Linked DNA regions of Mus musculus. The protein of the gene in region 1 binds, or shares a complex with, the protein of each later gene. Links are inferred from orthologs where the notes say so. Each region holds a gene or a part of one and is shown on either strand. Other genes may lie near its edges.

Region 1 (3,959 bases):
TCACAAGTTTACAGAAAACATCCACACCAACGAAAGGTTAGATGCTTCTATTTTGAGGAGAAGGAATAGGTTAGGTACAGCCATGGAGGGAGGGAGGGAAGGGAAAATACCTTAGTCATCTTGATCTTATAACGCTGGTATAAGGTGGTCTCGTTGATTTCTGGGGAACCCATGAATTTAGCCCTTATGACTAGAGGAAAGGAAGGGGAAATGGGGAATCAAATGGGCAAGCAGCATGAACCCATAGCAGCAAAGCATATATACAGCATAATTCAAATGGCTTCCACATCAGTTGATTCATCTACATATTGTCTATTCTTTTAGGCACTGTTTTAAGCCCTTTTCATATATCCATTTATTGGCTTACTCAACAAATATTTTGGAGTGCCTGGTGCCAGCCACTGTTCAGGGTGTTAGGGACAGTGACCCAAATACAGGAATCCATTTCCTTATGGAGCTCACATTCAAGCCAGGAGGAGACAGACTAACATTAAGTAGCCAGGCATGGTGGCACAGGCCTGTAACCCTAGCTCTGTCAGAGCCTGATGGAGGATCACTTTACTCTGAGTTCAAGACTAGTCTAGACAATTTAGTGAGAACCTGTTTAAAATAAAAAATTCACCAAAAAAAGGGTTGGGTTTGTAGCTCAATTGTGCAGTATTTGCCTGGATCCTAGGTTCAATCCCCGGTACCAAGGGGAAAAAGAAAAAAAGGTATGTGGATTGTTACAGGCTATTAAGTGGGTTAGAAAATTAGAATAGGGAAGGGGTTGACAGATGCTTTGCTTGACCACAATTTACTCAGGCTCATTAACCTTCTTCCAAGCTCATTAGTACAGTTTCTCTTTAAAATCCACTTGTAGCGAAGTATCCTAAATTAGGTTAGTGAAAACACCCACCCTTATCTGATTCTCCTCAGTATGTGATGGGGCCACCAGATGATTATACTAGCCAGTTTTCAAGAGACCTAAACTGGGTGTGATGGCACAGACCTGCAATCTCAGCACTTGGATGGCTGAGTGGGAAGGATCAGGGGTTCAAGGCCAGCCTGGGTTATATAGTGAGACCTAGTCTCAAAAACAAAAAGTAAGCTGATAGGCTAGAGAGATGACTTAATGGTTAAGAGCACTTGCTGCTCTTTGAGGTCCCAAGTTTAGTTCCCAGAATCCACATAGGGTAGCTCACAACCATTCATAACTCCAGCTCCAGGGGATTTGATGCCTTGAGGACCCACAGGCACCTACACACCACACATGGAATACACACAAACATACACATAAATAAAAATAATCTTTTTAATGGATTTAGCCTGAATCCTCTTGCCTTTGATATTTCTTCTCAATGGTTTCCCATTCACCAACTCCCAAACTGTTCCTTGGCCATTGAGTTCCATTTGCCCATGTAATGTTGAGAGTTAATCTATCTCCCCCCACCACCCCCATCTCTTGGCAAATTCTAATTGTCATGGTCCTGAATGAAGTCTGCCTGCCTGTGTCCTAAGAAGTGCCATTAACAGCATATGTAACAAAGGTTCAGGAGTACTATGTGGCTGGCATTAAATTTAAAATTAAATAAAAGTAGGCAAGCACCTCAGTAAGATGACTTTTAAGGCAGCCACCCATGTAGATAACTACAGAAAAGCATGTACATAGTACTGGGAGCAGCCAGCACAAAGGTAGGCTTAGGCCCAAGGATGTCAGTGTGGCAAAAGCAGATGTATGGAAGGGTAAGTAGAACTGTCCTAGAGACAACTGCCATAATGAACCCTATTGGATTAAGAGGGACAGAAAGGGGGCCAGACTCACCCAGGTCCGAGTTGCAGAAGGCTGTCTGTGGGTGGGGTGGGGCACAGCTACAGGCCTTACTGGAAGCTATCAGTGATAGCAACAAGAGGATGCCAGATGCCAGAGATGCAAAGGGGGCCATCATGGTATCTGCTGGTAAAGAGTAGGTGTTAATAGGTTCCCAGACCAACGGCTTACATGGCCATTGGTCCTAGGGAGATTTGGGACCTCTTTAGGTTAGAGAATGGAGTTGTGGCAGTTGGTGAATAAGGGAGCGGAGAACGTTGAGAATTTAACAGAATTGGGAAAATCTGACATTTGTGTAGTGATGAATTTGGAGTTTGGGAAACTGGAGAAATATAATGAGGAATTAGGGCTATTAAAATATAATGGGCTGAGGATTTCAGAGATATTGGGGGGTTAGAACAGGTTTGGGGTTTTAGGGAGCTGGAGAAAATGGGGGTTAAGGGTCTTGGGGAATTTGGAGGTTTACGACAATGGTAATGCTTGAGGAATTTGTAGGCAGAAGAACTGTTGAAGTTCCATGAACCAGACATGGCAAAGAGAACAGGGGAGTTACCAGGAACCATAAGGATTGAGGGACAGGCAAGTTGGGAAGTCTTCAAGGTATTAAAGGCTTGTGGGTTTGGAGCACTTAGCAAAGGCATGAAGGAGTCTGGAGAGTCCAGCTTGGGACGATCATTCCAGGCCCTCTCCCGTTATATTCCTCTTTAGCTAACTAGGGATCCTGATACCTGCAAGCCACGTGAGCAGTTAGTCTGGCAAGGGCTGCATGAGCCGCACCAACACAGGCTCCAGGCAAGCCCCAGTTCTGCCAGGACACCCGGCTCCCACTTACCTCTGGTGTGTCTCTAGGAGCCCCGATCTGCGATGATGGCGGCAGGGGCTGCACAGTGGAGAATAAATGTCCATGCGAAGGGCGGAGTTGGCGGGGAAATCACTGCCTCCAGGCTTCCTGGACGCATTACTCATCCACCCACCGCTGGAGTCAAAGCCTAGGGGCGGGCCCCAGGATAAACCCAAAGATACTCCCTCCTCTGCCAGCCAGCCCACTGCGCCCCCTTCCCCCAGCTCCACGTCATGCACAGTCCTTCCTGGCGGCCTTGAAGGGCAGAAGAGAGAGCGCCTAAAGCTTTGTGCCTCTCAGGTTTCCCATATTCCCCAAACTTCCTGTGGCTGAAGCCAATAACTTCTTTCTCACGCCTTTCATCTACTATGTAACAATCTCACAAGAAAGGCATTCCTGTGGATCTGAAATTCTGGTGAGGGGTGTCAGAGGGTGACAAACTAGAAAAGCAGTTGAGGGACATGACATGGGAGAAGAGGCACAAATACATAGTGGGGAAATTGATACACTGGATAAGTCTATGACTTATCCAAGATAGCAGTTGAGTCTGGCAGAACTGGGAGGGAACCGAGGCTGCTTGCAGACAGAGCCTAGGTACCCCAAACCTTGCTGTGGCTGCACACACCGGTGAGGCTATTTGAAGATATCATCAGCTACAAGAGACCCTGTCTTAAACAGAAACAAGACCAAACAGGCAAATAACTGAAGTAAAGATCTTTGTTAGTGTCACAGGACAAAACAGGGATTTAAACCTAGGCTTCCTGACCCTGGAGTCCTAACTCAGGCAGGACACAATCTTGACAAGCAGGGAATGGTGTGGTGAGCATGGGTGGTGGTGGTGGTGGTGACTGATGGTAAAAGAAGTTAGTGAGTCAGTAGAAAAACCATCCCTACTCCATCCTGCCCTGCCCCTTCCCCCACCAACCAGCCCACACCCCTTGTGGGGATGGGATGAGGCAACTGCTGCCCACCAGCTTCCTGATGATGCAGGAGTATTCCCTGGGGTCCTGTGGAAGGGTTCTATGGACTGATTAGCATCTTCAATTAATATAGGGAGGAAAGACCAATAATAATGACAATGGTTGTAATCGCAGCAGGCAAGCTGATCCAGAGAATTAGAGGGTACATAGTCTATACAGTGAGTTCCAGGACAGCCAGCGATACATAGTGAGAACCTGTGACAGAGATAGAGAGAGAGACAGAGAGAATATGGTAGTGGTGATCACAGCTACTTACTGAATGCTTACTGTACATCATTACTAAGGTTATTATGTAAATTTACTTTAGCTAATTCAATTTTATTAACTT
Region 2 (4,023 bases), on another chromosome or scaffold:
ATATTCGGTACATTTAATAAATAATAACTTACTTAAAAATAAACAGGACTCCATTACCCCCAAGTTATTAATCTCCTTCAGGTGTGGTGGCCTAAAGTAGAGTTCTTTTATCCACCAAAATCACTCCTGCAAGGCACACCCTTTCATGGTTAGTCAACCACAGTCAAAATCATAACTCTGATCAACAAGAACCATCAGCAGGATGTGCCACCAACAACAAAGGAATGATTCAAATGAATATGAGGCATCTCAGAATGAGTCGACTCAGCACCTCAGGCAGTTAGCAATCTGTCCTGCTAACAAGCCCTATCAGCTAATAACCCAGGAATAAAGTAAAAAGGCACTTGCTGCCCGCATGAAGTACACATAAAACCAAGACCTTGTTTGTTTTCCATAGGGAAAGCAATCACGGGATAAAATTACATACTTGCTCAAGTCTAGCTGATGGTTCAGTCTGTCAGCCTCTTTGCCTCTCTGAATTTTAGGTTGGCATATTCTCTGTGTAGTGCCTACACTAAGCCACAAGCTGACTTGGCTGGCCTAGTGTACACATCCCTCATCCAAGCTGTGGCTCAAAGGCCTCAAAGCCTCCTGGTTTAGGAAGAGGAGGACAGAGGTAGGAAGAATATTTTCATTTAATAGTTAATTAACTGATTTCCATTTGACACGTCTTTATGGAGCCAGTATATGCTTATAGCAATTATTCTGAAACAGAGAGTAGGTGGGCCCCAAGCTTCTTACCTCTGTACATTTCCTCCTCCGTATTGACTGCTTTCTCAGAGTACTCTTACCCCAGGGCTGGAAATACCTCTTACCCAAGGACTCCAGCAATGGAGTTTCTGCCATTATAGCTTCCTAGACAGCAGTCCTTACATTCACTTTGCAATCTCTTTCCATTAAACTATTCACTCCTTGCCTGAATGTATGTAAGCCTAAGGCATGTTTTTAAAAATTACACTGCTTTCAAAATATCTAAACATTTTGCAAATATTAATTACCCAGACAGTCCCTTTTCCTCTTTGTAAACACAGAAGCCACATCCTTGAGATTAAGCATTCTTTCAAGTTTACTAGGTTGAGGGATTCACTGATGTAAGCTATTCTCTCTTCATCTTATGAATGTTCTTGTAGTCATTTGGATTAAAAATAGCACCCATGTGAGTCATGCTTAGTGACCTAAACACCGACTCCCTATAAAAGAGTGGCCACTAAAGGGAAGATATGGAAACCAGGTGCTAGAGAAGGATCGGTTTTTAAAGTAAAGACTGTCTGTATGGAGCCACTAGCCATCCTGGCACTGCTGAGCCTACCAATCTGCTCAGCGTATCCTCTGCATGGGGCAGTGACACAAGGCCACCCAAGCATGGATCTTGCTCAGGTAATCAGTCAGTGGTGGGGATCCGCTTCAACCAAAGTGGAGGCACAGCCTTGCCCTTTGGTCTTCCAGCAGCAGTAGTTGAGTTAGTTAGAAGTTGTGTTGGAAAATATCCAAGTGTAAGAGGTAGAAACTCCATCTTCACCGAAAAGTGAAAAGGGAAGGAAGGAATCGCAGTTACTGGGGGTAAATAACAATGACAGCAGCCGAAGTGGGGAGACTGGGAATGGATGAGCTCACTCCTGTGCTGGAATTATGCTATTTAAGATACTTTAGGAGGGAGGGCATGATAATATTTATCTCCTACAACTTCAAGAAGCAAAGAATACTCTAATTTTTCATTTGTGAAAAAAAATGAATTTATCCAACAACACTCAACATTGACAGGTTTGTGTTAATAATGGAAATAGAAAACTTAGATACATCCATTTAATGTGCTCATACATTTATGCCGACTTCCTTGCTTTGGTAGCAAATTAAATTGCAATGAAATAATAAAATGAGGGATTTTTGCAGGAAAAAAATCAAATGAAGCACTACATCTACTTGTGTTTCACTAAACTGGGAATGATTAAAATAGATCTTGAGATTTGTGTATGTGTTTACATTTCATAGCAACCTCTTTAAAACTATGCTTGTTTCTCCACTAGCAATACCTAGAAAAATACTACAACTTTAAAAAAAATGAGAAACAAATTTTCAAAAGAAAGGACAGTAGTCCTGTTGTCAAAAAAATTCAAGAAATGCAGAAGTTCCTCGGGTTGGAGATGACAGGGAAGCTGGACTCCAACACTATGGAGCTGATGCACAAGCCCAGGTGTGGTGTTCCTGATGTTGGTGGCTTCAGTACCTTCCCAGGTTCGCCAAAATGGAGGAAATCCCACATCACCTACAGGTAATGGCTCCAGAGTTTTCACACAGCGTTATAAATGTGTCAGGAGCATCACAGAAGCAAAGATTACCTTCTTTGATTTCTCTTATCCAGGATTGTGAATTATACACCAGATTTGCCAAGACAGAGTGTGGATTCTGCCATTGAGAAAGCTTTGAAGGTCTGGGAGGAGGTGACCCCACTCACTTTCTCCAGGATCTCTGAAGGAGAGGCTGACATAATGATCTCCTTTGCAGTTGGAGGTAATGCTCTCATCTGGTGTTTGAGTTATTCAGGCTACTCAAACAAAATATCTCACATTGGAAGATCTGTAAACAACACAAAGGTATCACTCAGACTTCCTGAATCTGAAAAATATAAAATAAGGGGGTGGGAAAACTCAATCTGGTGTGTTCTTAGGTAGCACCTGTGTTACCTCCTATGGCAAAAGCAGCCAAGAGGTGCCTCCAACTTCTTTCTCATAGACACTAATGGACACTAAGCATCCATGAAGACTCACACCCTTATCGTATTCTAAAGGTGATGGCTGCCTAGCATTCCCATCACACTGAAGATTACATCTAGATTTCAAGAGAAATAAACTGTCAAACCATACAGCCCCTGAGCTCTCTTACTGAAAAGGGATTGGAGGAAATTCTAATACTTACATTTCTGTACATTTGTTTACCATCAGAACACGGAGACTTTTACCCTTTTGATGGGCCAGGACAGAGTCTGGCTCATGCCTACCCACCTGGCCCTGGATTTTATGGAGATGTTCACTTCGATGATGATGAGAAATGGACACTTGCACCCTCAGGTAGGATAAGGTCAGATATGAGTTGTCCAAGAATAACATGATTGTCTAGAGCAAGTCTCAAATGGAATATTCTGCTATCTGTACTTTCTGATTCGCTGTGTAGCAACCTGAAGCCCTATTAGTAATCTACCCATTACATGGTAATGAACCATGTAAGCTGAGTCATTCTTTCTTTGCTCCAAGTACAATATGGTGAGTGCCATTCAACTTTCTTTCCACAATTCAGGATCTTGTACAGGGTTTGAGTGTAACCTCTTCAACACTGTGTACCACTGTTCACCACTGTTAACTGCTATTCACCACTGTTTACCAATCCCATAATAGAGGAGTAGTTTAATGAATGTAATTGAGTAAGACAGTGTGTGATCCCAAGGATGCCCTGTGTGTGCCAGGCATGGTGGCGCATGCCTTTAATCCCAGCACTTGGGAGGCAGAGGCAGGCGGATTTCTGAGTTCAAGGCCAGCCTGGTCTAAAAAGTGAGTTCCAGGACAGCCAGGGCTATACAGAGAAACCCTGTCTCAAAAAACAAACAAACAAAACAAAACAAAACAAAACGGATGCCCTGTGTGGTTGGCATGAGCAATGTGTGTTTGTTTGTGGAATAGTAACGGTTACACTCTGAATATTTGTGGTTTCTCAAACAGGGACCAACTTATTCCTGGTTGCAGCCCATGAACTTGGCCACTCCCTGGGTCTCTTTCATTCCGACAAGAAAGAATCTCTGATGTACCCAGTCTACAGGTTCTCCACAAGCCCAGCTAACTTCCACCTTTCTCAAGATGATATAGAGGGCATTCAATCCCTGTATGGTAAGCAAGAAGAAAAAGAGGCTTAGGGGTGGTTTTTGTTTGTTTGCTTGCTTGCTTGCTTGCTTGCTTTAGTCAGTGCTCTTTAAGAATGTGGTACAGTAAGTCTTCAGGAAAACTTTTGTTTTTATTACATTGTGTGCTCTCGTGT

The links.
Region 2: the proteins of Timp1 (region 1) and Mmp10 are in contact, whole or in part, in a crystal structure (PDB 3V96), measured with the Homo sapiens proteins. The link is inferred for Mus musculus from reciprocal best matches to the Homo sapiens genes TIMP1 and MMP10. Residues at the interface, in NP_003245.1 of Homo sapiens: Cys24, Thr25, Cys26, Val27, Pro28, Asn37, Leu57, Tyr58, Pro87, Met89, Glu90, Ser91, Val92, Cys93, Arg98, Thr121, Cys122, Cys155, Leu156, Ser157, Ile158, Gln173, Leu174, Gly177, Ser178, Glu179, Lys180; in NP_002416.1 of Homo sapiens: Phe170, Tyr171, Gly177, His178, Ser179, Leu180, Ala181, His182, Ala183, Tyr184, Pro185, Tyr191, Asp205, Ala206, Ser207, Gly208, Val214, His217, Glu218, His221, Phe226, His227, Thr231, Tyr236, Pro237, Leu238, Tyr239, Asn240, Phe242, Thr243.

Annotation. Positions count from the first base shown.
Region 1 is NC_000086.7:20,869,008-20,872,966, reverse strand, and holds the start of Timp1 (metalloproteinase inhibitor 1 isoform a precursor), read right to left. Parts: upstream 2,802-3,959; 5' UTR 2,643-2,801; intron 1,937-2,642; exon of another isoform or gene 1,934-1,936; 5' UTR 1,929-1,933; coding exon 1,805-1,928; intron 191-1,804; coding exon 111-190; intron 1-110. UniProt on the Homo sapiens protein: Metalloproteinase inhibitor that functions by forming one to one complexes with target metalloproteinases, such as collagenases, and irreversibly inactivates them by binding to their catalytic zinc cofactor.
Region 2 is NC_000075.6:7,501,122-7,505,144, forward strand, and holds the start of Mmp10 (stromelysin-2 preproprotein), read left to right. Parts: upstream 1-1,220; 5' UTR 1,221-1,272; coding exon 1,273-1,377; intron 1,378-2,024; coding exon 2,025-2,269; intron 2,270-2,359; coding exon 2,360-2,508; intron 2,509-2,939; coding exon 2,940-3,065; intron 3,066-3,710; coding exon 3,711-3,875; intron 3,876-4,023. UniProt on the Homo sapiens protein: Can degrade fibronectin, gelatins of type I, III, IV, and V; weakly collagens III, IV, and V. Activates procollagenase.